Linked DNA regions of Rhinolophus ferrumequinum. The protein of the gene in region 4 purifies or fractionates together with the protein of the main gene of each other region. This does not show direct contact. Links are inferred from orthologs where the notes say so. Each region holds a gene or a part of one and is shown on either strand. Other genes may lie near its edges. The genes, in order: ARID2, ARID1A, SMARCA2 and BCL7C.

What was found.
Region 1: the proteins of BCL7C (region 4) and ARID2 purify together in Homo sapiens (affinity purification with mass spectrometry; 3 studies listed by BioGRID and IntAct, counting the BioPlex papers as one, with this or other methods). This does not show direct contact. The link is inferred for Rhinolophus ferrumequinum from reciprocal best matches to the Homo sapiens genes BCL7C and ARID2.
Region 2: the proteins of BCL7C (region 4) and ARID1A purify together in Homo sapiens (affinity purification with mass spectrometry; 5 studies listed by BioGRID and IntAct, counting the BioPlex papers as one, with this or other methods). This does not show direct contact. The link is inferred for Rhinolophus ferrumequinum from reciprocal best matches to the Homo sapiens genes BCL7C and ARID1A.
Region 3: the proteins of BCL7C (region 4) and SMARCA2 purify together in Homo sapiens (affinity purification with mass spectrometry; 4 studies listed by BioGRID and IntAct, counting the BioPlex papers as one, with this or other methods). This does not show direct contact. The link is inferred for Rhinolophus ferrumequinum from reciprocal best matches to the Homo sapiens genes BCL7C and SMARCA2.

Annotation. Positions count from the first base shown.
Region 1 is NC_046293.1:47,892,975-47,900,040, reverse strand, and holds the start of ARID2 (AT-rich interactive domain-containing protein 2), read right to left. Parts: upstream 3,004-7,066; 5' UTR 2,513-3,003; coding exon 2,421-2,512; intron 2,306-2,420; coding exon 2,212-2,305; intron 1,151-2,211; coding exon 1,053-1,150; intron 1-1,052. UniProt on the Homo sapiens protein: Involved in transcriptional activation and repression of select genes by chromatin remodeling (alteration of DNA-nucleosome topology). Required for the stability of the SWI/SNF chromatin remodeling complex SWI/SNF-B (PBAF).
Region 2 is NC_046292.1:18,273,844-18,280,763, forward strand, and holds the start of ARID1A (AT-rich interactive domain-containing protein 1A), read left to right. Parts: upstream 1-3,904; coding exon 3,905-5,020; intron 5,021-6,920. UniProt on the Homo sapiens protein: Involved in transcriptional activation and repression of select genes by chromatin remodeling (alteration of DNA-nucleosome topology).
Region 3 is NC_046295.1:33,833,283-33,840,864, forward strand, and holds the start of SMARCA2 (probable global transcription activator SNF2L2), read right to left. Parts: upstream 3,001-7,582; 5' UTR 2,846-3,000; intron 2,228-2,845; exon of another isoform or gene 2,104-2,227; intron 1,360-2,103; exon of another isoform or gene 1,017-1,359; intron 864-1,016; exon of another isoform or gene 470-863; intron 1-469. UniProt on the Homo sapiens protein: ATPase involved in transcriptional activation and repression of select genes by chromatin remodeling (alteration of DNA-nucleosome topology).
Region 4 is NW_022680357.1:424,628-432,367, forward strand, and holds the start of BCL7C (B-cell CLL/lymphoma 7 protein family member C), read left to right. Parts: upstream 1-4,737; 5' UTR 4,738-5,052; coding exon 5,053-5,144; intron 5,145-5,670; coding exon 5,671-5,749; intron 5,750-6,078; coding exon 6,079-6,187; intron 6,188-6,264; coding exon 6,265-6,426; intron 6,427-7,740. Other genes in the region: CTF1 (cardiotrophin-1), read right to left, coding at 1,190-1,308, 2,505-2,529. UniProt on the Homo sapiens protein: May play an anti-apoptotic role.

The DNA.
Region 1 (7,066 bases), on a different chromosome or scaffold from region 4:
TGCTAGACATAACACAGAATATCTACTTTGATATTGCATTTGGAGCAATAAATGCCAAACTCAAATGATGCAGAAGCCACGTTATCTAAAAACGACCATCCCATAATATCATTATTAAAAAATAATAAATATGAAGAGCATTATTTTAGTTTTAAATAACAATCACCAACTAAGGACCCTTTATGGGTAAGTAAACATTAAAAATAAAAGATGACCTCATAATAAATTACAGTATAAAAATATGCCTGGGAGAAAAACATAAAGCTAAATCACAAAATGTATCATCTAAATTGTATCACATACCAACTGAATAAGAAACTTACTTGGTTTAAAAAAAGTAAAAAAAAAGGGGGGGGTGGGGAAAATGAAAGAAAATCCAAATCATAGTATTTCCTTTTATAGTATCCCTAATTTTCCTAAATATATAATAATCATTTTGAACATTTTTTACTAATTCAAAAAAAAAATATTCTAAAAACAATCCTAGTCATTAAAGCACCAACATGTTATGTTATGCTATATAGAAATATTCTACTGAAAAACTACTCAGTGACACGGTTCCACACAAAAGGTTTCATTTTTCTAAAATCTTAAAGTCAGTATTTAAAAAGGCAAAGGAGTTTCCAAAACAAAGAAAAAAATTCCCAGGGGATACAAAGTTTCATTAACTATCTTAACTCTTTTACTAAGCATCATCTTTCTGCTCCTCTGCAATCAATAACAATGTCACAAAAGAATGTTTATCAAGATGGGGGGAGGGGTGTCACCTGTAATAATTCTGTATGAAAAATGTAAACAATACAAAAATAGGTGGGGAAAACTTTCACGATCCTACAACCTCACTTTATAGATATTTAATGTTTCCCAGATTGAAATGAACAAGTTTAGAAACTGGTATGCAAGGTTTGTTTTGTGTGTGTGTGTGTGTTTGTGTGTGTGTGCGCGCGCACGCGCGCGCGTGTTTGTGTGTGTGTGTGTGTGTGTTTCCTAAAAACAAATCTCCCCATAAGTCCCTTATTTCCAAATACTGTTCAAGAGTCACTACTACTCACCGCAAGTAATACTGTTTTAAAGCAAAGGCAGCGTTAGAACAACTTCTGGGAAAGTTGAACTCTTCAACAATTTCTCCCCACTGATTCTTCTCAGAAACCTGTTAAAAACACAGCCACGCTTGTCTGAAAATGCACAATCCAAGAAAACTCTAACCTAACTATGAAATAAATACCCATTCTACAGAGATCTGTAGATACCCAGGCATCAATGGGTGTTTCGGATCGATCCGTAAGAGTTACTAAGCAAGAGCTGCTTGAATCACTGTGTTTTCACCCAGGAACCCTGTATTTAATGGCACTTGTTTTGTTTGGGGGGTGGGGGGTGTCTGGTGGGTTTGTTTTGTTTTTGAAGCCCGGACAATAACCAATCGCAAGTCCCTCTGTCGCCCCCTTTTAAATCTCAACGCGGTCGGTTTACACTAAAAAAAAAAAAAAAAAAGTTCAAAAGGATCAATACTGCTCCGGACAGCGACGTCCGCAGGTTCTGGGGGGGCCGGGGCCGGGGCCGATTCACATCCCTCTCCCAGATCTATCCATCTCCATAGGCCCTTCTTTGAGGCCTACAGCTTCTGCCTAGCCTTGAAGCCTAAGATGGCTATTTGGAGACAGGTCCTGGTTTCTTTTGTTAGCTGTATAAACCGAGGGCGACGGGGCCGAGGCTGTGCCCCCGGCTGCCGGGATCATTTCGCAGCCGATTATCGATGTTAAACCTGCCCGCGCTAATTTTGAGTTGCACGAAAACTGCTCTCAGAGTCTGTGTCTCCGCCTGTGCTAGAGCGGCAGCGGCGGCAGAACTGACTCGCGAGCGAGCGGGCGGGCGCGGGCACGGGGCGGACGCGGGGCTTCGGCGGGCGCCCCGCACGCCCGCACTCCCCGCCGCGGCGCTCAGACCCCGCCGGGCCGGCGGGGCAGCCGGCAGGGCGCGAGCCGGCGCCGGGCCGCCCGCCCGCCCGAGCCCCGCGCCCGCCGCGCGCACGCGAGCCACCAGGCCAAAAACAGCCCCGCCGCCGTCCGCCTCCGTGCCACCGGCTGCGAGCGAAAAGAACGCCTTTTACCCCCGCGAGCCACCCCCCTAGCCCCGAGCGCCCACTCCGGGGTCAAAGGAGACTTTTTGGAGGAGGCCAGCGAGAGGGAAATACAAATTAAAACTTCCACTCACCTTCGCGAATCCGCCTAAAGTAGTGACTCTGGTGTAGAGACCGTGAAGATCCAGCTCCTTCCCACCCACCGCAGGGATTTTTTTAAAAGGCGACCTGCGGGAAAGAGAAAGCCCCGCACTTGTCAGCCGGGACCCCACGCCCGGCCCGGACGGGAGAGCCCCGTTCGCCCCGGCTCGCCCCGGCGCTGCCCCCCCGGTTCTGCTCTCACCCTCTGCTGTGGTGGAACTGCCGCAGCTCGTCCAGGAAAGCGAGTCCCTTTCTCCGCTCGTCCGGAGGCGCCTTCCCCGTCGAGTTTGCCATTATTTTTTCAAAGGAGGTTTTAAAAAAAACCCAGATCGGTGTTTTAAAAGCGCCCCCCGCTCCCTGCGCTTCCTACCAGAGCCCGGAGCCCATTCCTCGGCCGGCGGCGGCGGGGCTCAGTCATGGGCCGGCGGTGGCGGCGGCGGCGGCGGCGGCGGCGGCGCAGGGAGGGAGGGAGGGAGGGGGAGGAGGAGGAGGAGGAGGGGAAGGAGGGAGCAGGAGGCCAGGGGGAGAGGAGGGAAGGAGGGAGGGGAATTTCTAAAAAAGTTTAAAGAAATCGGAGCGAAACTAGAGGGGCAGGCGACTGCCGGATCCGCGCGAAGCCGCGGGGCGAGCGCGGCCCCCACCCCTTCCTTCCCTCCCTCCCCGCGGCCCGGCTCTCGCCCGCCTCTCAGCGCCGCCGATCCAGGCGGCTCGGCCTGGGGACGCGATTCAACATGGTGCTGCTGCCGGGGGCGCGCGAGCGAGCGAGCGAGCGAGGGGAAAGGCGAGCCGACGGTGAGGGGCCGGGGCGACCGGAGGCCCTGGAGTTTCGGCGGCCGCGGCGGCAGCGGCGGCGGCGGCGGCGGGGCTGGGGCAGGCGGGGCTGGGGGTGGGGAGGGGGAGGTCTGTGTGGTGGTTTGTGGAAAGCGGGGTGACAGCGTGTATTCCGGCCGCAGCTCCGCGGGGCCCTCGCACACATTCACGCGCGGCCTCGGCCGGGGCGTCCCCGGGCAGAAGGCACCGGCGGCAGCCGAGCCGCTGCGCGCCGCCTGCCCGCTTCCCTCCCCGCCAGCCTCCCTCTCTGCTGCCGCCAGCGCCGCCGCCACGGCCGGGCTGCCAGCGCCGCGCAGCGACCCCCGAGGGCCGGCCGCGGCACTGCGCCTGGCTCCACACCGCCCCGGCAGCTCCTCGCGGGGAACAATAGACTCGGCTCCGGGTTTAGGGTTCATCTGCAATGTGCCGCACATTTCACACGCACACAAAGCCGGCGGAAAGGGGGGCGGTGCGGGGAAACGGCCACTACCGGTTGTTCCAGGGTTAGGGGTGGAGGCAATGTTCGCGTCCTTGGCCCGGCTGTTGGAAGGGCTGCCTGGGAGTCCCCCGCCCGCTCGACAGAACCGGTGTGGCGCTCGGGAGGGAAAGGAAGCTCAGAGGGGCAGCTCCTCACGCTACGCATCGTTCACAGATTGGAATAAAGTCAATTTGTTACCCTTTTTTTTTTTAAGGTGTAAATGAATCGGCTTTTCTGAGCCTTGTACTGGTGTTTTGGGGCCTGGTTAGCACATTTTCCACGAATTATCCACAAACTAACTTTAGCAAACTATAAATTAAATACAATGTGAACTGTCCTAGTTCTGTGGAAATAGAGTAATGCTCTTAATTCATCTTGCCTTTGGTCTTAAACTAGATTATTCTATGCTGAGTTATGCAAACTGTAATTAAACTGATTGGGAAGCAATCTTTTGAACTTTGACAATAATGATTAACGTTTATATTTTTTATATTAAGTATCTTAAAGATAGATGGGCTTAAATATTAAATATTGAAAATGTTTTTCCTTTCTCTCAAATGTCTTAAATGCGATCCTCGTTTAGATATTTTTGAAGGTTAAAAAAAGGCTGCTTAAAAGGGGAGATTCAACATCTCAACAAATACTACCTCCTAAGTTTGCAAGGGGTACTGGAGTGGGCCCTTTGCTACAAGTGTTAATTATGCTTCACAATATGTGAAACATTATTATTCCCATTTTGCCACCATGGGCAAAGTCACTGACTAATCCAAGGTCACAGGCTAGTAAATGTCTGCATGGGTTATTATTTCAGGTGGTGGTTCCAATGGGAACATTTATTTGGTGGTGAGAAAAATTATGTAACATAGTCCAGTCTGCTTCCGGCGCTCACTCTAGGAAACGGATTTATTTCTCAAGTAAAGTTTATCTTTTAAGTGGGGTCGGAATAAGGCTGTGGCTAGGAGGTTCCAGACACCCAAGGGCCAGTGAATGTCTCGGAAGCCTGTGAGGGGCGGAGACCCGTCCGGGGGGAGTGGAGATGCCGGGCCGCACGGAGGCGAGGGGGGCGGGGTAGGAGGGAGAGACCTGGTCATTTGTCCTTTCCCCAACCGGTCCTCTTAGGGGTGGTGGAGATGTGGGCCGCAGAGCTGCGTGGCCTGGGCTGTGCGGATTCCCTAAACGCCGCACTTGTGCACAGCCCCTTACGTAACTGTCAGCGCCGGGGATTCCCTAGAGGGGGTCATTCTATTCAACCATTACACACACCCCGGGCTCCTGCCGCCGCGCCGCCGCCGCCTCACAAAATGGCGGCGCCCATAGAGGAGACAGCGGCCGCCTCCTCGGCCCCATTTTGTGGGAGGCGAGAGATCTGTCAACATGGAATACCTCCGCTGAGGATGCATCCGACTTTGGAAATCCTGCTTAAGTGATGGAGCCGAGGGGATCTCCTTCGACAGAAATTGTCAGCGATTTCTAACACCTCTTTTACTTTTTAAATTTTTTTCGAAGGAAACACCAGAAGCCCCGGGGGTAATTGTAACTAAGGAGAGAAGAGAAAGCTGCGGCTGACTTTTCCGGGGACTTGCCGCGGCGTCTTTGGTGGCTTTGGTTGCTCTTCTACGCTCTCGGGAGCTGAGTGCGATATTGCGGACGGTCGCCTGGGCCTCCCGGCCCGCTCCGAGGGGACAGGAACCGGGCGACGCGGTACGGCAGCAAGGTTCTCTGTCGCGCCACTTGTACAGCGAGACTTTTTTAGTAGTTTTTAAATGTCACAGTCTATGGCCCTGTCGGGAACCCTAGTCTGAGTCGTGGGTTTAGGATCTCCGGAGGCCACTGCTCCGGGAACTCGCGGTCGGCCGGGAGCCGGGGAGCCGTGTTGCCCGGAGCGGGCGGTACGCGCGGATTCCGGCAGTCCCGTCGCCCCGGGTGGTCGCGCGGTCCGGCCCCGGGCCCTGGATGGTGTCGATGGGGCAGGATTGGGAACGAAGCCACATGCACTGAAATTTAAGTCATACGAGTCGGGACCTAGAATGTCTATGTTAACAATGTCTCAGGTTAGACGTTGAAACGTCCTTTCTGGTATCCCACTCTGCAGTGGGCAAATCTGGTTGTCTTGTCTCTCATTCAAAGGGCAGAATGGAGGGGTGACATTTTATATTTTTGTTTTTCAAGGGGAGGTAGCCACTTTTAAGCTACTGACTGCTTCCTATTAGTTTATTTTTGTGTATATACGCACATGTATATACAATAGTGTGTTTTGCTTTTCAGTACAAGTGTCAAGGCTAAAGACCTGGAGTGTGATAGTAACGTTTTAATGCCTTTCTTTAAAAATTTAAAATGTAACTGGAGAATGGACTCTGAAAAAAAATTCCTTTTCTGCAGAAGAAGCTGTCATCTACAAAATGGATTCCGAAAGATGTCTGATGGCTAGAATTTAAATTAATAACACTTTGAATATGCTCTAGTCAAAGAAAAAAACCTGATATTTGTAAGATTATTACATGGTTCTACTTCCCCAATACTAGAAAAATGAAAGGCAAAAGTAAGCTTAATATATTAACGGTATTTGCTTGTGAGAGGAATAGAAAGGTTTAAGGAAAAAGGAGATTCCTCTGCTGAAACTTAAATACGCGTTACACGAATAATTTATTTCAAATGTTATTTTCAGTTGCAGCAATCATTTGTATTTTTATATGATTTTTTTGAGGTGTTTAAGTTGATTTTGACCTTCATATTTTTTTTCTGACGCACAACTGCATCTTTATGCAGTTTGCGCCTCAATCACAAAGTTCCATGCCCCATCCTTTGCCACACCCAGATTGCTACTCCTGGTGTGTGAATTACCAAGATACAGTTACTGATCATGTCTGTTGCTACTGATGTTCTTTATATTTAATAAATTTGGTTACCACTAATCAGCCTATCTCTTGCAAGAATACCCTATCTTAGCACTCAAAGTACCCAGAGAATATTTTTTATGGGATTGCACTAAAAGTAACCTTAGTGCATACCGGTAGTGTAACATTTCTTTGTACCATATTGCGTTTCCTATAGTGGGCAGCATAGAGCAGGTGGATCCTGGAAAAGAAATGTTAGAGATGTCCGACAGTTTTACGATATTCTCTAATTTAATAAGATATAAAAAATGAAATGTACTTTGTAGTTTTCAAGCATTAATGGAAAACATCCCTATAAAAATTACCAATAACTGGAAATTGTTGAAACTATATTTGTATAATTTACTGTTCTGATGAGAAATGTTGGCCAAGCCTTTTTGGTGTGAAAATGCAAAGTGTTGTTTTTAATAGTAACTGCAAACCCCGAACACCCTAATTAGAGGTTTCTATTATTTTATATAAATCTCTGATCCTTATCAGTTTTAATATATAACCAAGAAGTTGTGATGTTTAAAATTCCCTCGATTCATTCAAGTAAACTTAAAAAGAAAGCTTTACCAAATTTCAAAACAAGCATGTCAGGTATATGATTACAACAGCTGAAAAAACTTAATTGAGGAATTAATACGTCAATTCATTGGAGAAATTTTTGAAGTTTATTTTAGG
Region 2 (6,920 bases), on a different chromosome or scaffold from region 4:
CCAAAGCCTCCGCTGGGGCTGTTTCTGAACACGGAGTTGCAAACTTTAAGAAACAGACAGCTCCAGAAAGAAATCCACGCCAGGCTTTGAACTCTGCTCCTGGCTTCCGTCAACTGACATAGTTGCCCTTTTGCTCAAACTCGCAGCTCCAGTTCGCACTAGAGAGAGCTCTGCTGGGTGTCAGCTTTTTTGCCGCGGTGGGGACGCATGTGGGGGCCACAACTTGGCGCTCCACCGAGTCCCCGCGCCTTAGTTCAGAACCAAGGCAAATCCTCACTGGGTCCCTGGGCTTAAAACATCTTCCCCCAAGAGGAGTGGGTAAAGGAAGGAGCCGAGTTCAATCTTTTGTTTGTTGAATTTTGTATTTCGGACACTTAGGGGAAACAAATTGAGAGAGAGGAAGGGCTGTCCACCCTGCAAACGTTTCCCTCTCTTTGCAAACCCTTCAGGCCTGGATTCCACATTTTGCAGTTGACTGCGTGGATTTAACATATGTTGTTCCCTTGTTCTCGAGCCGAATCCATAAAATGAGAGCACATCCTCTGCCATTTTCAGTCAGTTTGTCCTGGCAGCCCTGCCCCCCTCCTTGGCTGCCGCAGCCACGAGTTATATTGCTCGCAGAAACTCCGCCTGATCCTCCGGGCGGGAAATCCAGTCCACGTTTGCCTAGTGCCGTGCGGTCGGGGATGGTGATAAGAACTCTCTTGTGAGGGAGCGAGCGAGACTTTAGTCCGGTTTCCATGTCAACGATTCAGTCCATATTTGCCATCAGGCTGTTGGTGGCAGAGGCGCTTTCGTGAGGGTACGCGCTGTCCTAGTCCTAGTTCTCTAATCTGCGCCGGGATTCCTGCGCTGCCTGGGTGTGGGGTTAAAAGGCAGGGGCCGTAGGGGAGAAAACTCCACGGAGGGAAAGACCCATAGACCCAAACCTAGGGCTCGCTGCTCGAGCCAGCCACGTGCCCAGCTCCGCCCCTCCCCCCCTTTCCCGCTGCCATTGCCCCTAGGGAAAGCTGATGGGCCAGTTTCTAAGAAAGTTCCCCTTCAACTCCGCAGTCCCTGGGATAATGGTGTGGGGCTCTAAATGTAGGGGTGTAAAAGAACAATAAAGGATTTGAGATTTAAAAAATATATAGTGGAAAAGGAGAAATCCCACGTTACCTCCTCCAACCCAGGTGGATAGATTTTTTTGTGCACTTTACCTCATTGTTAAATAAAAATGGTGGCTGTTTTCTAAACAGCTTGCCCACGTGTAGAAAAGGGATTTTGACACTTTGCGAATTTCACAGCCCTTGAAGAAAAGGGATGAGGGCTTCCTCTGGAGAGACCCATTCTGGCTTCCAGATTTTCACTGGGCTCTGGGTTTCCTATTACACTCAAGCTCTGAGGAAAATGGCAGGATAATTGCATGTAAAAAATTCCTCATTTGTGTGCGGGACCCAGGACTGTTTGCCAGCTCAGAGGCAGTTGATTAAATAGCCAAGCTCCATTTATGAGGCAGCCTATAATTTGGCTTCTAGGACCTAATGCATGGGGAGAGTTGTTGCCCCTGAGGACTGAGTGAAACAGGGCACTGGCCCATTCCAGTCAGTCAGGTCCTGGCGTTTGGTTCCTTCCTAGGAGGGCGGGGTGAGCGAACACCATTCTTAGATTGACAGGAAGGTGTTGTCTTATTAGTGTAGGATGCTCTTAAGTGTTTTAGGGATAGGGATGAGTTCAGGTTTTTCGAATTATTCATGGTGACCAGTGGCACAGACAGAACTCCAGGGGCCTGCAGAATCTGGAAATTCTAAGATAATAGTTCTGTGGCCAAGAAGTCTCCATTTGTAAAAGCTGAGGAGAGAAGAGGCCCTGATGGCTAGTGACTACATGGACCTCGGCTTCTTTTTCCTAAGGCAGCCTTAGGCCTGGTGAGGCGCTGGAATCTCCTCTGGCTTTTGTAGCCTGTCACATCAGAGCATTCCAAGTCAGCCTGAGGAGGAAAAGGCTGCTGCTGGGATTTGGTTGGGCCTGTAGATCCGGCGTTTTATATGTAAGCCTCCAGCTCAATCTGCATCTCTTAGAATGTAATGGTAAAACTTTGAAGAATCTTTTCAATGGAGAATAGAAAACAAATTGGGTTGCATCCATTTTCTCAGTGACATGTCAGACTGCCCTTTTTCTTTTAGCCATTCTGTGTAGCCATTCCTCTTCTGCAGTGGTTCCTTCACTCACATTCCTCCATCCCTTATAGCTTCTTCTGTGGTCTGTTTATAGGCTCACAGGTACTGTACTGGGAGACGGGATATTGGTCACTGTGGGCTATGTTCTCTTAGGAGACAAAGATGAGGCTTGGGTTCAGCTAGAAGGCTGTCATATTTCCCAGAGTAGCTTCAGTGGTGAGCATTTTAAGACAGTATTGAGATGACCAGCTTTGATCTCAAATCCATTCTGATAATCAGATCCCATTGTTGGATATGACACAACTTGACTTTTTTTTTTTTTTAAAGGCTTAAAGGCTAAGTAGACAAGGGCAACTTTGGGGACTCTGCTACTTTTTAAAGCCACTCTCCTCTGTCATCTAACTTTAAGTGATGGAGCAGTCCCTTCCCCTTTCTTTCAATTCCGTAAAATGGGGATAATCCGACCTCATGCCCCCAGGGCCTTGTGAGGACCTGTTACTGAGGGCAAGGGAGAGGGAAAACGGAAAGTCTGAACAATAATATGTCATTATGTCATTACATTAGGCTTGCAAAGGGGTTTAAAAGTAAGGTCCACTCTCTCACTCAGCTGGGTCGTTAGAGCGGGTTTGTAAAAGGCTTTGAAGAAGAAAAGTACGGTAGAAGTGCTAAGTAGCAGCCAAGAGACCAGGCCCACTGCCAGAGGGTCAGGCCTGGGCCTGAGGCGGCCGCGATCTCAGGCTGAGCCAATTCTGCAGACGCGAGTAAAGTTCACGCTGCCCGCTCCCCTCGGTGCGGCCTAGAGGAGACCGACCCGGATAGGAACGACGGGAGGAAGGCGGCGCAGGTTCCGGAAAGGCGCAAGCTCCGGGCCGGGTTTTCCCCGAAGCCTTCGGCGGCGGCGCTGCCGAGCGAAAGCGGCAGAGGGCCTGCTGCCGCCGCGGCTGGTTATCTCCCCTCCTCCTTTGTGAGGGGAAGGGAGCGAGTCCGTTCCACGGCCTGCGCCCGCTCCGCGCTCCGTTCCGGGTTTGCCAGGCGGCCGCGACGGCGCTGGGTAAAATGGCAGTGCTGAGCCTCGTGTCGGAGTGAGGGGGACTCGGAGGAGAGTGGGGCGCTCTAGCCGCTCAGTCCGGCCGCTCGCCCGCTCGCCCGCCCGCTGCCGCGCAGCAGCCTCGGTCCGCGTCGCGGCCGGGGAGGGGAGGCAGGGCGCCCGGCCCGCGCTCCGACTCTGACTCCAGGCGCCCGGGTTGCCGCTGCGCGCCCTCCAGCCCGCCCGTCCCGGGTCCCCCTCCCCCCGCTCCCTCCCTCCCTCCCTCCCTCCCCGCCCCCTCCCCCTCGCCTCCCTCCCTCCCTCCTCCTTTCTCCGGCAGCAGAAAGCGGAGAGTCACAGCGGGGCCAGGCCCTGGGGAGCGGAGCCTCCACCGCCCCCCTCATTCCCAGGCAAGGGCTTGGGGGGAATGAGCCGGGAGAGCCGGGTCCCGAGCCTACAGAGCCGGGAGCAGCTGAGCCGCCGGCGCCTCGGCCGCCGCCGCCTCCTCCTCCTCCGCCGCCGCCAGCCCGGAGCCTGAGCCGGCGGGGCGGGGGGGAGAGGAGTGAGCGAGCGAGCGCAGCTCAGCAGCGGAGCCCCGCGAGGCCCGCCCGGGCGGGTGGGGAGGGCAGCCCGGGGGACTCGGCCCCGGGGCGGGGTGGGAGGGGGGGAGAAGACGAAGACAGGGCCGGGTCTCTCCGCGGACGAGACAGCGGGGATCATGGCCGCGCAGGTCGCCCCCGCCGCCGCCAGCAGCCTGGGCAACCCGCCGCCGCCGCCCTCGGAGCTGAAGAAAGCGGAGCAGCAGCAGCGGGAGGAGGCGGGGGGCGAGGCGGCGGCGGCGGCAGCGGTCGAGCGCGGGGAAATGAAGGCAGCCACCGGGCAGGAAAGCGAGGGCCCCGCCGTGGGGCCGCCGCAGCCGCTGGGAAAGGAGCTGCAGGACGGGGCCGAGAGCAATGGGGGTGGCGGCGGCGGGCCCGGCGCGGAGCCGGACCTGAAGAACTCGAACGGGAACGCGGGCCCTAGGCCCGCCCTGAACAATAACCTCACGGAGCCGCCCGGCGGCGGCGGCGGCGGCAGCAGCGATGGGGTGGGGGCGCCTCCTCACTCAGCCGCGGCCGCCTTGCCGCCCCCAGCCTACGGCTTCGGGCAACCCTACGGCCGGAGCCCGTCTGCCGTCGCCGCCGCGGCGGCCGCCGTCTTCCACCAACAACATGGCGGACAACAAAGCCCTGGCCTGGCAGCGCTGCAGAGCGGCGGCGGCGGCGGGGGCCTGGAGCCCTACACGGGGCCCCAGCAGAACTCGCACGACCACGGCTTCCCCAACCACCAGTACAACTCCTACTACCCCAACCGCAGCGCCTACCCCCCGCCCCCCCAGGCCTACGCGCTGAGCTCCCCGAGAGGTGGCACTCCGGGCTCCGGCGCGGCGGCGACCGCCGGCTCCAAGCCGCCTCCCTCCTCCAGCGCCTCCGCCTCCTCGTCGTCTTCGTCCTTCGCTCAGCAGCGCTTCGGGGCCATGGGGGGAGGCGGCCCCTCAGCGGCTGGCGGGGGAACCCCCCAGCCCACCGCCACCCCCACCCTCAACCAACTGCTCACGTCGCCCAGCTCGGCCCGGGGCTACCAGGGCTACCCCGGGGGCGACTACGGCGGCGGGCCCCAGGACGGGGGCGCAGGCAAGGGCCCAGCGGACATGGCCTCGCAGTGCTGGGGGGCTGCTGCTGCGGCGGCGGCGGCGGCAGCTGCCTCGGGAGGGGCCCAACAAAGGAGCCACCACGCGCCCATGAGCCCCGGGAGCAGCGGCGGCGGGGGGCAGCCGCTCGCCCGGACCCCGCAGGTACACTGCTGAATGGGGAGGGGCTGGGGCGAGCGGGGTCCGGGGAGTGGGTGGCGGCTGCGGGGACCAGGCCACAGCCGTGGGCTACCCCCAGTCCGGGGCCCCCACTGCTGGGGAGCTGCCATTGTCTGGCTCTTCTCTCTTAAAATGGCTGCCTGTCTGCCTTCCTTTCCTTCCCTCCTTCAGCCTTTGTGTGGGGCTTTCCCTGAGGTGTCTGCTCCCCTTCTCCCTCTCCCCTGGTCCCTTTGAACTCCGGGGGTCTTCAAGGGGGTGCGGGGCAGAGTGCGGGGAAGGGGCCTGGTCAGGGGTGAGGGGGTGCTGGAGGCTCAGGTTAGGGGTGCAGGCATTGCTAGGAGCTCAGGTGTTAAGTGAACAATTCTTTGCTCACCTGCCGCTCCTCTCTGCCCCCCCTGCCTTCCTCCAGGCCGTCCCCCATCTGTGCTTTTAAGGAGGGGCCCCTCAGACTCGGGGGGACCTCGAGGGAGGGCAGGGGCCTGCTTGGGGGCAGCTAGAGGCCGGCCGCGGTTCACCCAGGGCAGCTTGGGCCACCTCCTGCTTAGTCTCCTTCGGCCCAGTGGCCTGGGCTTCTCCCTGGAAGTGCTGGTAAACAGCTGAGTGATTGGAGTAGTAAGTGCAGATTGCTTTGGTTTGGGATTTGAATTATGGAGGTAAAATCCTTCTGTCAAAGCCAGGAGACAGTTGGTCTTAGGTTGACATCCTATCTGTGATCTGATTGGCTCCCCATCTCCTGCTCTTGGCCATTTATAATTGCCTCTGATGTAATGGTACAACAATCCTGATGAGCTCATAAACTTTTACACTCTGCTTTTCTGCCAGTGATAACCCAAACCATCGCTGCCACTATCTGCCTTTTATTCCAGAGCTGAAATTGGCTGTGACCTTGAGGAGGGAGGTTTAAGCAGCAATACTGTATCAGCAGGAGCAGAGCCCCAGACAGGCTGCCCTTGTTACATTGTGCCTGAAACAAAAGAGGAGGCAGTGGCATTTTGCTTGTACCTTGGATTTATTTTGCTTGTTATGTTTTATGCAGCCTGAAATAGATTCTGTGTTGTCAGAACAGTAGCTGGGTTTTTCTCTACAATGGGTTTGCTGTTTGTTTTGGTTTTGTGACTTTTCTGATGGTATAAATGACTTCTTTGATGGCTCTGAGGATCCGTTTGTCTTGAGTAATTTTGACCCTGTTCACTTTGCAGAATTGAAATTATTTTACTGGATTTTTTATTGAGTGCCAAATGTAGGGTCTTTATGGGAGGAGATAATAGAAAACTTTTTTTTTTTTTTTTTGAGAACTAGAAGCTTTCAGAGAATTTCATGTTAGGTTCAAGAGTTCTGTTTTAAGGAAAGCTGGCCTCATTCTTTGTTTACATGTTGAATCTTAACACTCTTTTGTTAATTGAATTTTGGTAAAGCAGCTCAATTTAAAGGGAAGCTGACATCTTTCATGATCTTGAGAGGGAGTTTATCCTAAAGACTTGGCTTGGTGTTCCTGGAATATCAAAAAGGCTAGTTTTCTATTTTGTCATTTTAGAGCTTTAAAATAGAGGACAACCAATTTTTTTCTTTGCATTTTAAGGTATGTTTCTTTTTTTTTCTATATTGCAAGATAAAAAGATAGGACCTACAGTGATACTTAAAATTTGCTTAGAAATTACAACTTTCAGGTACTTTTTTATGCGTTCTCTTTTATTTTGCGATTTTTCCCTCTTCATGTTCTGTTTACAATGCTTTGATCAGAAATAGTGGGTATTTTATGGAGTCATGTATCTTTGCAAAGAGGAGGAAGAAAGCTCCAAAAGCTCCCTGCATATTCCCCTCCCAGCAGTACTCAGTTTACCTTTGTGGTACTAGGCTCACTTAGGCAGCTAATTAGCTGTATTCC
Region 3 (7,582 bases), on a different chromosome or scaffold from region 4:
ACTAAAATTACATAACAGCCTGTGCAGACATTAAAGAAGGCATGGATTCTGCACAACACCCCCACTTCCCTCGACTCCCGAGCCTTGTTTTCTTCTCTTAAAAAATCCAAACCCTGGCAAGACCAAGTGAACGACTCTAAATACTTATTTTATTGCTAGAGTAAATCCTGCGAGAGTTGAAGGCACGTTTAGGCCCGAAGTTTGAAAGTGCAACAGCCCCAGAGCGCAGCGACTCCACTCTCCGGACCCGCAGGAGAAAGAAATGACAAGCGACAACAGCCAGCAAGGCCTTCGCCTTCCTCCGCATGATGCCTCCCTCTAAAGTTTTCCACGCGATCGATCGGAGGGAAGGAGCCCGTTTCCTCCGCCTGCCTGACTGCAGGAAAAGAGAGCGGGGAGACGGGAGGGAGTCGGCAGGGAAAGTGCTGGAAAGCTCCGCACACAACAGGCGGCGGCGAAGGTTGCTTACCTGGGCGACGCGGAACAAAAAGAGGAGCCGTGGCTGTGCAGCTGGCGACCCGAAGCGGGTCTCCCCGCCGAAGCCCTAGGCCTGCGCGGGGTCCCGCGGCCGGGCCCCCGCCGCCGCTTCCTCCCTCGCGCGCGTCATGTCACGGCGATCAAACATGTCTGTGTGCGCTTCGCTGCTGTGACTTCCTGATTCTCTGCCGCTCGGGCGCGCACACTCACACTCACAGCCACACGCACACTCCACCCCAACCAGCCCCCTCCTCCAAATCTCGCCAGGTCTTCCCCGAGCTCCGGGGGAGGGCCCGCGCCCTGCTCCCAACGCACTGGACCCGGCGCGCACAAAACACACACACACTCACGCGCAGACACCCTCGCGCCCGCTTCGAGGGCGCCGAGACGCAAGCCGCCGGAGCTCGCCGCCCTCTCCTACCCCTCCACCCCCCCCACCCCACTTAGCTGCCCTGCCAAACTTTTTTTTCCTGCCTGATCCGCGTCCAACTTCCCTCCCCCAACCCCCACCCTAGCAGCCCAGCCAGCCCCGCGCTCACCAGGATCCGCCGCAAACAGCAACCCGGATAAAAATAATAATGCAATCCTGGCGGCCGGGGCAGGGGCGAGCGCCCAGAAACTGGCAGGAGGCGATTTCCCCGCGTGTACCGGAAACCGGCCCGAGTGCCCAGACAAGGGCGCGGGTGTCTCCGCGAGCCCGCACTGCTGCGCCCGGCCCCTCTCGGTGCAACTACGCCCAGGCTGCGAGGCCTGGTGCGGGGCACCCTTGGCACTGGACTCTGTGTGCGCCCCGCAGCCGGAGGGCGCCTAGGGGCTGGCGCGCCGGACCGGTTATTTGGGGAAGTGCATCTCGACACCTTTGCAGATGGCATGGCCATGTTTTGCAACACAAACGGGAGGAGGGAAGAGGGCCGGCCGGATAGAGGGAAGAGCAGAGGAAAGGGTAAAAAAGGTTGGAATGGGAATAAAGCAACTCGAAAGCAGGGAACGAGAAAGAAGGGGTGCGTGTCATCGTTGGGAGGAGGCTCCCATCGGGTCTCCCCGCCTCCAGCCCTCGCCTCCCCCCCCCCCCCATTGCTTCCCCACCCCCCCAACCCCCCGCAGCCCTTCCCCTTCTCCGGCGAACGCCACCGCTACTGCCGGCGTGCGCGCGGGTACTGTTTGTGACAGGCAGAGAGGATTATCTGGATCATGGCCTCCCGGTCCGCAACCACCGTGGCTCTCCCGGGCCCCAAAGCGCCCCTAGCACCCAGACGATTTGGGGCGATCTATGCCCGCGGTTCCCGCGGTTCCAGCTTGGGGAAGGCGCAAAGCAAAACAAGACAAACCCGGGTGCAGGGGGAGGAAGGGGAGGAAGGCAGCGTAACTGAGCCCGGCTGGCACCTCCGACCTCCTTCTTCGGTGCCTCCTCCCTCCTTCCCAGCAGTGCGGCCCGGGCCCGACACCCCGAACTTCAACACCCGAGCCCGCGCGGCTGCCAGGTACCAGGGGCAGGGACGCCCGCAGAGCCCCGGGCACAGCTCCGCGGCGGCCCCTTCCCCTAAAGGCCTGCCTACGGGTCAGCATTCCCATCCCCGCCCGAGGGAACGCGCAAAGTGGAGGTGACACCTCCGATCCGACACGCACAGACCCCGCGGCGGTGGCAGCCTTCTGCTCGGCGCGCCAGCTCAAGCTTCTCCTGCAGGGTTCCGCTCAGGTCTCCGCAGCCGGAACCCTTTAAACTAGTCCCCGGGAAGCGGGTAGCAGCCGCTTTGGTTGGCGCCCCGCCGCAAGCCCGGGCTCCTTGCCTCCTTCTCCCGCTCCTCTTCCAACTCTTCCGGGGAGGACTGCTCGGGATGAACTGTCGCGTTTCCATCCTCCTCCTGTATCCTCCTGCCTTCCCCTCCTTCCCACCCCCCACCCCCTCCGGCTTTTAAGGGGTTGGGGGGGGGACTGCAACCTTGCCGAGTGTGTGTATTGCAACCTTGAGTTGGCAGCGCATCGCTGACTGCCTACCCAGGGTCAAGGCTGTGGTTTGTTGGGAATTCCCCCCCACCCCGCCTCCTTGAAGTAGTAATTATTACTGTTATTATTAGAACAGCAAGGTTCGGTTGAAACTTTCCCGTTTCTTCCACCGCCGCCCGGGTGCTGTCGTTAGAGCATTCCACCTGAGGCCCGCGGGGAGGAGGCGGGCTTTTTTTGTTGTTGTTGTGGCGGTTGGCCCGCCTATTTGTTTTGGTCTCTGTGCATGCACAATAAATAATAATTAGGATAATAATGAATAATCCCCGGCGAAGGCGGCGCGGTGCCAGAGGGGTTTGTGCGGCGGCTGCAGCCGGGAGGCCGGAGGGAGGGGAAAGAGGAGAAAGGAGTTGTAAGTTATATTTACCTTGCTCGCGAGGAGTGTGCTGGCTGAATCTCTTCCCTCTCTGAGTCACCCAGAGTACAGAAACAGAGGGAGAGAGGACTAGATTATGAATATGACTTCATTGATGACAGCCATCCCCTCCTCTTCCTAAACTCCGGCTCCGCCCCGCGTCCCACCCTCAGCCTCCTCCACAGGCGCCGGAAGACGCGCCGCAGTTGGCCCCGCGCGCCGCTCCTCCCTGCCCGCCCCAGCGCGGGTTGGTGGGACGCGCCTGTCACTCGACCCGCTCAGCGACTCCGGGAGCTCGGGGGGAGGAGGGGGCGGTGTGCAAGAATGTGGACGGAGACAGCTCTACTGTATGCGTGGATCGGTGTGTGTCTGCAAGGCGCCGGCTCTCGAGCCGTGGTTGTGCCTGGAGCAGAGAAACTGCGCAGGACGCAGAGAGCCCCAAGGCTTGATGGAGCTGGGCGCCCGTTATCCCTCTCCGGGTAGACCTCTTCCAGGGGCGCTGCCGGGCTCCTCCCGGGAAGCTGGGGAAGCGGAGGAGGCGAAGCGAAAGGGGGAGGGCAACCGTAGTAATAGCGTGTAGTAGTTTGGGGGTATGTGAAGAAGGTGCTGGAATTTAACGGTGCCTCCGCCTGCCAGAGCGAGCCTGCAGAGGGAAAGGGAGGGGACACGGGTAGGGCTCCGAGTGGCACCAAAGCGGTTTGTGGCATAGTGTTGACTGTGGGGGGGGGAAGGCATTGTGTCGGCTGAAACTTTTTCCTCACTCCCCCCGCCCGCGACCCGAGGCTGCAGTTATAAATCGGCCCCCTTCTCCCCCATCAAAAGGAAGGAGGGCACAAAGAACATTCCTGCCAAATCTACCTCTTTTCTAAAGGACTGCAAGCTTCCAAATGCCAATGAGGGGAAAACAGCTGAGAGGCTGAACGCCTTATAAATAAATAAACCCGCCCTAAACCGTCTGTTTACTTTGTGGACCAGACACAGCACTTTGACCTCCCTCACTTGTCATCTTCGGTAAAATATATTCAAAAATTTGGAAAAACAACCCTGTGGGGGCAGGGCGGGCGGGTTAGGGGGCAGTTTAAGCATAGAATCTGCTTTTGATTTAAGAAGGGGAATAAATCTCTTATTCTCTACAGACCATAGAATCTTCTCTCCCACCCCACGTTTAAGACCAATTAGGGCTACAAACAGTAAACTGCTGGCACTTTGCGGTTTTGAGACCTCTTGTTCCAATTTTCCTTGAAATACAGTACTTTGGCGGGAGGAACAGGTCAGTGTTTGCTGAGACAATTTTATTTTTAGTTTTATGAAGTGTGAAAGAATGTTAGATTTTAAAATCAGGGGCCTATTATTTTAGACTCAGATTAATGACGGTGCTTGACTCTTAAAATTAAAACTGTTCCTATACTGTACTGTTCTGAAAAATATGATTTATCCCTTATTTTGTAATGTAATGGTTTAAATTAGTCATTCAAAGTGCACAGTGACTACTTGGTTGAGGATGTTTCCCCCTAGAGTAAAATCCTATTTTAAGGCCATTTTACTGTTGCAAAATTGACTCTATTTGAGCAATCAGGTCTGAAATGCAATTCTAGGATGCTTAAAACTATGCAGTGGGTACACTGAAGACACAAAGCAATGAAAGAACACCAAATGCTGCATGTGGTCATTAAGTGGCGAGAATTGTTCACTTTGCTGGTCCACTGCTTGAGGAAGGACAGTCTGCAAGGGCACCACTTTCAGGTGGCTAGGTGTGTCAAGGATCACCCACCCTGTTGTTTTTCTAAGGCCCTGTTATCTTGCTTGTCAACTTGAGCTTCATAATTTTCTGCCTATCCCAAAAGTGAACCTCAAGACAACAAATATAACACATCTAAGAGAAATAAAAAACAGTATGCACTGAAGAATCTTTTGTGAGAACTTCGTTTTCTGCCTGAGGATATGCCAGTATAACTGTTAACTGGGAAATACACAGCCAGAAGTCTTAAACAAAATTAGCAATGTAGTAAAAGTATAACTTCTAACTGCCTATTAAATTGCAACTAATAATATAGCCGGATAATCTAGTTATCTACAGAAGGACTTTAACCTTATGGCAATACTCATTACATTAGGTAATATTAAGTTTTAATTTTGGTGGACCTAATTTGTTTCTCTGCCATGTCAACCTCACAGGCCAATTTTTAGAAATTGATGACTTTACCATTATTTCCTTGCGCATAAGTGCCCTTTATCCTTTTAAGATTCTACCTCCACCTGCCATGCCAAATTTCAAAAAGAGAACAATCATCTTAGTAAGAAACTGGAGTAAGAGATTGGCCATTTTTTTCTGGCATTTTGTTAGAAGGAAAGTAAAGAAGAAAGTTGCCTTTGTTCCATGTATATATTCTTCAGCTAATACAAAAGTTTGATGCATTACCTGGAGGGATGGGTATCCATGCATTATATGCAAAACTATGGGAATTGAAAAATAAAATCTATGATTGGGAGCAGAGATTAAATACAGATATTCCATCTCCTTTTCCCTTCACATTGGTCTAAGAAAACACCACCTTATTTCAGGTCTTTTCTCTAAAGAATCGTCTTGTTTGTAGCTTATACTGTAGCAAGTAGGAATATTATAAAACAAGACCTACACTTAGAAAAAATCAAAAGGCAGCACCATTCACTCATTATGAAAAGATTGTAGAACATATAGCGTGAGCTTTATCTCTGATGTAAAGCAAAACTTAACAACTGATGTTAAGGAGAAAAAAGATGAGGTTTTTTTGTTTTGCAGAAAATCACACAAAAGCAAACATGGTTGGAGGTTAAAAAAACTGGGAGGCCGCACAGGATGCTATATTCACATGAAACTTTTCCTTTTGGACTTAGATGAGTCATAATGCGTTCTCTGAACTTGCTCTTTCTAGTTTGGGATCAAGGGCTAGAAGTCACTTTTTCATGTCTGTATGGCCACGTTCACTTTTTATGTAAGTCTGTTATGGTGGACATTCTGTATACGGTAGATACTGGGTTTGAAAATCGGTATCACAACACCCTCATGAAGAAAATTTCCATGCACAAAGATAGGAATCTTCTAGTCCCACTAGGCAAACTATTAACGCTGACTGAAAGAAATGTTGCCTAACTTCAAATGGGCTTGAAGGTAAGACCATTTAAGGCATGAGTGCTTCATCTGCAGTAATGGAAACGAAACTCTGACAAAGTGAACAGTTGACATTTAATTTAGAGAGAGTTTAGAATTAGCAAGTAAATTTATTGCAGAAATAAACACTCCTCTCTATCCTTTTTTTCTAGTCAATCGTCTCAGAAGATTTTGTTTCTCTACAATCACTCCTCCAAAATGCCACCCCAATTCTTTTTGTGAGCATATTACTCTCTAGCTTAAAAGCTTTTGTCTGTTCCCAATCCATCATAGGATAAATTTCAGATTTCTTAGCGTGTCATCCATCCAAGGCAGTGTGCATGGACAGATCTCTCTGCTAGGCTTGTTCTCCTTCCCCAAATGCCTAAGCTCTGGAAACATGGTCTACCACCTGGTTCCTAAGGGGCCATATTGGACATACATTCCTCTGACTGAAATACAGGTTCTCAGTACACATACTCCAAGAGTCAGCTATGGCCCAGCATCCTTCCAGTGGCCCTCCTTGCCCTCCTTAGGCAGAGGAAGCCACTTATCCTATTCTGCTCCCATAGCAACCAGTGTGTATGGCCGTTACAGCACTTATCACTTTGATACGATTATTTGCTATCCTCCACTAGATGGTTGGTGCCTGGAGGGTGTAAAGCAAGTTCAATTCATCTTTGAAACTTCAGCAATTAGCTGGATGCCTAGCACGTTGTACAGTAGTCCCCCTCCAAATCCAGTTTCGTTTTCAATGGTTTCAGTTGCCTGGAGTCAATCCTGGTCCCAAGATATTAAATAAAAAATTCCAGAAATAAACAATTCATAAGTTTAAAATTGCACTCCATTCTGAGTAATACAATGAAAGCTCACGCAGTCTTGCTCTTTCCTATCCAGAATCATCCCTTTGTCCAGCGTTTCCATGCGGTATACATTCCCCATATGTTAGTAGCTTTCTAGACAATCAGGTGGACTGTCACTATATTGCAGTGACTGTGTTCAAATACCCTTTAGTTTATTTAATAATGGCCCAATATCACAAGAGTAGTGATGCTGGCAATTTGGGTAAGCCAAGGAGAAGTCATCAAGTGCTTCCTTTAAGTGAAAAGGTATGTATGTGTAGGAAAAAACAGTATAAATAGGGATCGATGCTATCTGTGGTGTGAGGCATCCACTGGGAGTCTTGGGACATATCCCCATTGGCAAAGGGGGACTACTGTATATTGTTAAAGAAAAGGAAAAAAACTGTTGAATGAAAGGATGAGAGACATATATTAAAACTGTCTGACAGAGAATTTAGCAGGTCTTCATTACTAATTATCATGTTAATGAACAAGATTACTAAGTGTTCTGAAGCTTTATGATGTTTTCCAAGCTGAAATGCTGATGATATGTTTTTCTTTTGTTTCATTTTGTTTTGTTTTGGTGGGGCATGGAGAAGGTGGGAGGTGAGGAGAATCAACTGCTCTTGCAGTCAAATAAAGAGCATTGAGAGGAGGTTTTGTTTGTTCGGATCTTAAATTAGTCTCAGAAAAACATGAATGCTTACTTGATAATTGTGTGATAGAGTAGTATTAATTACAACAGCAAGTCTCTTTTAATGAGTTTTAAAAATCGTCTGC
Region 4 (7,740 bases):
AAGATTTTACACCCCAGTGTGCAAATCCTGTCTCCACCATTTACTAGCTGTTTGGTTTCCCACAAAACCATTTCCCTTCTCTGAGCCTCAGTCTTCTCATCTGTAAAATGGGGAAACACTCCCTGTCCTGTCTCCCTACCAGGCGTCTCCTGAGAATCACACAGATAGTGCAGGGACCAAGTCTGTTTCCCTCCCTCCCTTCCTCCTCCCCACCTCTGTACCTGCCTGGCACACAGCAGGGGCTCCATGAATAACTGTCATCTGAATGAACAAATGAAAGTTAAAGGTGATTTGTAATTTGTCAAACTGCTATAACAAAACCATTTATCCTTTGCTAACATCTTGCCTCGGGTTCAGCATTGTGCTTACTGCTCTAACACCCTATTCCTCGTCTTCCCAATGATGGGTGTGGTAATGATGATTTTGTAAGTGAAGATGTAGCGGTTGACGAGATACAGTGAGGCCCTAGGCCCTACATCTAGGAAGGGACAGAGCTGGAATTTGAACCAAAGTCGGCAGGACTACAAAGGTAGTTCTATAATCCCACTACTTACTGTCAAAATGGTGACATCCTTATTTTAGGGTTATCATCCCTGCCCAAGGTCACAGCATGGCGGCAGGCAGACCTACAGTCTATCTGATTCCAAACTGTATCCTCCCTCCACGACAAGAGTCATTTGGGGAAATATCTTCTTTCCCTGGGCAGGGCCTTCTGCCCAACCAAAGACGTTGACAGATTCCCCTCCTTTGTCAAAGTCCCCTCTTGGGATGGAATTTCTGCCCCTGTACTGAAACCCCTTCTGGGTCTCTCGGCCACGCACTGGTAGAAGAGTTCACAGCTCATCCTTTTACAGTTGGGGAGACCAAAGCCCATGGAGGTGAGGTGACAAGATCACACAGAGCCTAGAAACCAGGTTTCCTGACTCACAGAGTGCAGTTCTCTTCACTCTCAGGCGGCCTCTGTCTTAAGCCCCAAGGAGGGAGCCTACAAGCTGAGGTGGCTGGAAGGGCATTGGAGGCACAGAGATGGGCCTCCAATGTGTGGCCAGGGGCAAGTGACTGAGCTCTCGTAGGAGCCCCCATTTCTGCAGCTGGGAAACGAGGCCGAGAGAATGGGTGGTGAAGAACCCTGACGAGCTGGACTTGCGCGTTCCCCAGGCCCCGGCTCCTCCACACCAGCCCTACTCACATATTCCTGGAGCAGCTGCTCGGCGTATTTGGTAAGGAGGCGGGCAAGGCTGTGTGTCTGCCGGATCTTGGCCTCCAAGAGCGGAAGGGGTGAGACTGAGGAGTCAGCCTGGGGGTCTTCTGGTGGGAAAAGGGGGGGAATGAGGGTAGCCCAGACCCCTACTCCTTGACCACTTTGGTCAAGCTGGCTCTTCCTTCCAGAACCCAGAAGCTCAGCTCTGACTTGTGCAACTTGAAGCCAGGCAGGCTCTGTCCCATTCCAACTGAGGGGAAAGGAGGCATCAGACATTTGCCAAACGGTTGTTCTACTGGAAATGTGTTCCCTGTCTCCGAATCACTGTTGAAATCCTATTATAGCCAAACTCAAATACTGTCTCCTCAGTGCAGCCTGGGAATCACCTCTCCTTTAAATTAACTTCTTCCTTCTACTTAAAGCCATTTGTTCATACTTCCAAGGTAGTTATTTTAATGGCTCTTTGACCTATGTGATTTGGCCTCCACCTCGGAGTCCTTTGAGAGTAGGACTCACATATCTCTGTACCTCAACGAACTGTGGGTGGAAGTCAACATCTCTGTAGCACAGAACATCACATCGGAATGTGCCTTTCAGCCCATTTTACAGACTGGGAGACTGAAGTCCCATTCCCTCCCTGATGGCCCTTCTGTGGAAGGCGCTGGGCTGGGTAACCGGCAGTATCAATGCCTGAATCAGCGATCAGCCGTCCCTAGCACAAGCTACAGGGTGGCTCCCTGGCAGGACTACATTTTCTGAGACGCCCAGCGCAGCGCCCAGGGCATGCTGGGGAATGTAGTCAACGCCCGCAACTCCTACCCCGCCCCCCACCCCCATCCCCGCCCCACTCGTCCCCCTCGCCTGAGTTTCCCACCGCCTATCCCTATCCTTAACAGCCTCGACTTTCCTTTCCAGTTTCCTTTCCAGTTTCTAGCTCTCGGGACCCAAAGACTTCCTCCCCTAACTCTAACCTTCCCTGTGGCCCCCAGCTCTGATTCTTTATCAATACTGAAGGAGAATCCTGGCGTCCAGCCCCAGCCACCACCCTCCCCCAGGGTGTACTCGAACCAGTGATCTAACCCTGGAGCCCACGTCCCTAAAAGCACAGCCCCAGGCCTCTAAACTCTGGCGCTAGCACCTTCCCACAGCTCACCGCTTGTTACCTGACACCGGGGCCCTGCTCTCCTCCGCTCAGGACGATCCCTTCCCGGACCCAGGGGTGGTGGGGACCCAGACCCCAGCTTCCAGCCCTTCGGACCCCTGCTCCCCTTGGGCACTCGGCACAGGCCCTTCAGCCCCTTACCCAGACTTCCCTCCCTCCGGCTCATGCTGGCCCCTGGTTGATACCGGTTGCCTCCACGCCCCCCTTCCGAGGGGGAGAAGGGGGGAAAAGGGTAGGGGCGTGGCCCGGGCGCAACCAATCAGGGCTCAGACCCCAAACAACCCACCCCCGCCCTCCCACCCCCCGCCCCAGGCAAGATTCCTTGTTCCTGAGCTCAGCTCCCTGCCCGCGCCGCCTTGTCCAGAAACGGGCCTGAGGAGGGCGACAGGTTGCCTGCATGGTGGACTCGGGACCTCGATGCTGGGGGCGCCCGGGCCTGGGAGGCAGCCCAGCGTCCCGCCGGGAGGAGGCTGAGGCTCTGATCTGGGGCAAGGCTTGGGTGCTCGGTTTGCTTTTCGGAGAAAGCTGAGTAGATAGGAGAGGGTGGAGCTGGCAGGGCTGGAATGTGGTGCCCCTCCCTTTTGGCTGGAAAGCAGGGGTAGAGAGGGTGCGAGAGAGGCCGGTGGAGGCCCTCAGGCTCGGGCCACACCACGCCTGGCCTACCTTAGATACTTTGTGCTGCTGGTCTCATTGTCACAGCTACCAGGAGGGGGACAGATACACCAGCTCCTCTCACTTTACCAGGCTCAGTAAGAGAACCCCTCTGACACACCTACTACATAGAAATACTGTAGTATTTCTACTACATACAGACTTTCATTCTTACACAGGAACAAGCTTCAGAGACAGGTACAGGAAGTCATACACTGCCAACCCCACTAACCTGGTGCAGACAAACACCAGGGCCCCTCTGTTTTGGGCCCTGGTATTGAGGTGCTTCATACTTGGTCTCTGGTCCTCTGAGGAGCTCACAGTCTGATGGGGGAGGCCACAGACAACAAGTAATGGGGTTTGTGAGTGAAGAGCCTGGGAAGGAGGTCTGTGTGTCTGTGAGGATATTGCCAGAATGAAGGGAGAGGGCACAGCAGGTGCAGTGAAGCCAGACTGTTGATAGCAAGCACGATCACACACTTACTAACAGCGAATATTTACTGGGTGTTGAGTATGACGTACAAGACGCTGTTCTAAGAGCGATCCACTGCTTAACTCATTCCCACGTCATCCATGAAGACAAGTGACTTCTCCAGGGTCATTGGACAAGCAGATGGGGTTCCCCCCAGCAGTTTGGCTCCAGGAATGCTGTCATAACCACCTTCCTACACCTTAATCCCTGTGGACAAAATCACACCAAACCGCACAGGCACAATAGTCACTCTTGAAACACGCACACACATAGCAACACAAATTTAGACGCGTTCTATCTGCTGGCAAACACAGCCTCAAATGAAACCAACCAAGACACGCTCCTTTGAAGTAAACTTTTCCTTGACGTATGATGTACATAGGGAAACGTGCACACCTCCTAACTGTAGAGCTCCGTGAATTTTCACAGAGTAAATAACCTGCAGGGAACCGGCCCTAGGTTATGAAACATGATCAGATCCCAGAGCCCCCTCTGAGCTCCTCTCAATCCTGAGGATGACCACTGCCTGACTTCTCACACCATACATTGGTTTTGTCTGTTTGGAGCTTCCGATCAACGGAACCATACAGTACGTACTGGTGTATTTTACTTTCATGAGACTTGTACCGGTTGTTGGGTGTAACCGGACGTCATTCTCCTTGCTGCATCCAAGGCGTGAATAGGCTTCTTCCACTCCCCTTGATGGGTTGTTTCCAGTTTGAGGCTATTATAAATGGTGCTATGAACATACCGACGCTTTTCGGTTGGGTGTTACTGACCTAGGAGTGGAATTGCCGGGTCATAGGGTTGGGGTGTATGCTGGGCTTCACTAGAAAACGGCCTTTTCCAAATTGTCTCTACCAGTTTACTCTCCCCCAGAAATGTGAGAAGCCCAAGTTGCTTTACTTCTTCGCCTACCCTTGGCATGCATGGTCCGTGGTCCGTCATTGTCATTTTAGCCATTCTGGTGGGTGGAGTCCCACTCATATGTAGCGTCTGGCATGTACTTGGCACTCAGTTAATAGATTGTTGAATGAATGGCTAAAGGAACAGTTGGACAGTGTACAACTGGACAGTCTGGCGAGGGTGGACACGCACACGCTCACGGCGTTTCAGGGACGCCCACGCGCAGCGGACGCACACCGGGACACCGGCCCTCTCGCGCCCCTGGCGCCCACGTGGTCTGAACGCACCCCTCAGCCCCGCCGCGCGCGCGTCCACTCGCGGAGCTTGCCGGCAACCTCCCTCTGGGCGGCGGGCAGGGGGCGCTGCGCGTCCGGGCGCCCCGAGGGGGCGGGCCGGGGCGGGGCGGGGCCGGGCGGCTGCCAGGCCTGGGCTCAGGACGTCCGCGCCGCCGGGCCGCTCCGGAGACGGGCCGGGGCGGGGCGCAGCGGCAGGAAGCGGGGCGGGGACTCGCGGAGGCGTTGGGGAGCGAGGGAGGGCGCGGCCAACTCCCGGAGGGACGACTGGCAGAGCGAGCGGCGCCCGGGCCTGGCGCCGAGCCTGAGCCCGCCGGACGGGAGGCGGCCCAGCCACGGGCTGGGCCTCGGCTCCAGCCCAGCCAGCATGGCCGGTCGGACTGTGCGGGCCGAGACCCGGAGCCGGGCCAAGGATGACATCAAGAAGGTGATGGCGACCATCGAGAAGGTCCGGAGATGGTGAGCGCTGTCCCGGGGTCAGGGACGGGACATGGCGGGGCCGCCCCTCCTCCAAAGGCGTCTACCCTCCCTTTGCCAGCTGTGGCCCCAGGTGTTCTGTGCGCTTCCCCCGGTCCCCCCACCTGCGCCCTGGGTCTACAGGGCTCTGTGCCCCTTATCCTGGCTACACCCTGGGGTTTACAAAGCGTGTTCCCCAGCCGTGCCCTCTCAGAGCGGTTGCTCCGCCTCCTAAAGCTTTGACACTCCTCCCGCAAGTATGCCCGCATCCCCAGCCAGGCTCGTGGCCGCGAGCCCCAAGTATACCCCAGGGGTCTGCGAACCATGGCCCTAAGCCACGCTCTTACTGGAGACACCCCATGTATGCCCTGGGGTCTGCGGGGCTCTTTTCTCCCTCTATGCCCCATTAGCAGAACTGCCCCTTCCCTCTTGCACCACCCAGATCTCTGCAGGTATCCCCAGATGTGTCCAGCTGCTCGGGGGCTCTGTCCTCTGGCCTTTCTGACCCAGTCCCCCCACTCTCCCACAGGGAGAAGCGCTGGGTGACTGTGGGCGACACTTCCCTTCGTATCTTCAAGTGGGTGCCAGTGGTGGACCCCCAGGAGGAGGTGAGCAAACCCCCCCAGCCCAGACCCTGCGTCTGTGCCGCCACAGGCAGGGCCCTCCCCATCCTGGCCTCCCCCCCCACTACGCACTCTGAGACCTCCAGAGCAGCTGCCCAGACAGGTGTTAACAATTACGCGCACCTCCGCTGGCTCTCCCTTTTTCCTGCTCCGGCCAGACCCTGGAGTTCAAGACCTAACCCAGTGTGCGCCTCTCTGCCCTCTCGTGCAGGGCCTTTTGCTCCTCTGTGCCTCAGTTCACTTGTCTGTAGAGTGGGGGCTTTGCAAGTGGTAACTGGAAAGCGGGTTCTGAGCCTTCCCTCTCTAATCGCCAGGAACGACGGAGGGCAGGTGGCGGGGCAGAGAGGTCCAGAGGCCGGGAGCGGCGGGGCAGGGGTGCCAGTCCCAGAGGAGGGGGCCCTCTCATCCTGCTGGATCTCAATGGTAGGTAGGGATCCTGGGATTTGGGAGGAGGGGGCTGCGGGCCTCAGACCCAACCCTTTCCACCTTTGCTCCCACAGATGAGAACAGTAACCAGAGTTTCCATTCGGAAGGCTCCCTGCAAAAGGGCACCGAGCCCAGTCCTGGCGGCACTCCCCAACCCAGCCGCCCTGCGTCACCTGCTGGACCAACGGAAGGGGTCTCAGAGGAAGCTCAGCCCCCACGGCTGGGCCAGGAGAGAGGTAGGACCAGGTGCCTCTCAGGAGCCCTGCCCTCTCAAGTCTTGTCCTCTCCCAATTTTAAGCTCACCCCCGTACACGCACTCCACACCCCACTGGGTCCCTTCCTTTGACTTCGTCTGATCTCTACATAACGTATCACTGTGGGATTTTTCACGCAAATTTAATTTTTAGTACCTAAGTGTCTTTCTTCCCCCCTCCCACCTCACGTCTGCTTCCTGAATGTTGGGCTCCTATTGACCTTGCTCACTTCAGAGCACCATAGGACACATAGTAGGTGCTCAATAAATGGTTGTTGCGGAAAACATAATAGTGACCATCCTGAGTCATTAATAATAACAGCTGATCGTTACTGAGCTCTTAGCACATGCCTTGCACCCTTCTAAGCACTTGACACGTGTTATCTCATCTAATCCTCACGACCCACCACCACCCCCCGCCCCCGTGAGGGTTTTTAATCACCATTTACACCCAGAGAAGTACAGTCAGTTGCCCAGGCTCACGCAGCTGGTGAGCCAGCCTCCTAAGTCCCGCTCAGCTCCTCTTTTCTCCAGAGTCAATCCCCTTCCTGTCTGGTCAGTACCACCTGCCAACTGTCCACCTGCCTGGCCCTGCCCAGGCTCTGTCTTCGGTCATCCACACCTGACTTCAGCCTCCTTGTAGGGTCTCCTACCCTTCAGTCACCTCCACACAGTGGCCAGAGCCATTTTATCTAAAGCACAAGTCTGACAGGGTCATTTTGCAGCTAAAGCCTCCGATGGTTCTCTGTGGCCTTTGGCTCCTCATCCTGGCACCCTGGGCCGTGTGAGCCGTTCCCTGCTGACCTTGTTGTCCCCTTTCAGGACACCATGACTTGGTGTGGTATGGGCTGTGTCTAGACTGGGCCATGCACCTGTGTATCTTTACCGACATAAAAACAGTAACTGGCATTTACTGAGCACTTACTATGTGCCAGACAGTGTGCTACCCGCTTTACCTGTATTATCTCATTTAATCCTCCCAACTTTTAAGTGGTAAATACTATAATTATCCACATTTTACAGATGGGAAAACTGAGGCCCAGAGAAATGAAATCACTTGCCCAAGGTCAGGGTTTGAACCCAGGCAGTCGAGCCCGGGTTCTGTGCTTGCTCAGAATCTGTGCTTGCTCAGCATATGTTCCCTCTGCCTAAGACATGCTCCATCTGCCCACCTGCCTACTCACCTGTCAAGATCCCACCTGGATGCCCGTCCTGTGTCTTCTTCCTGGGTTGTAGCCAGGTGCCTGGCTCCCTCCCCAGGGCTCCCACAGCTTGGGGGCTTATGTGACTCAGGGAA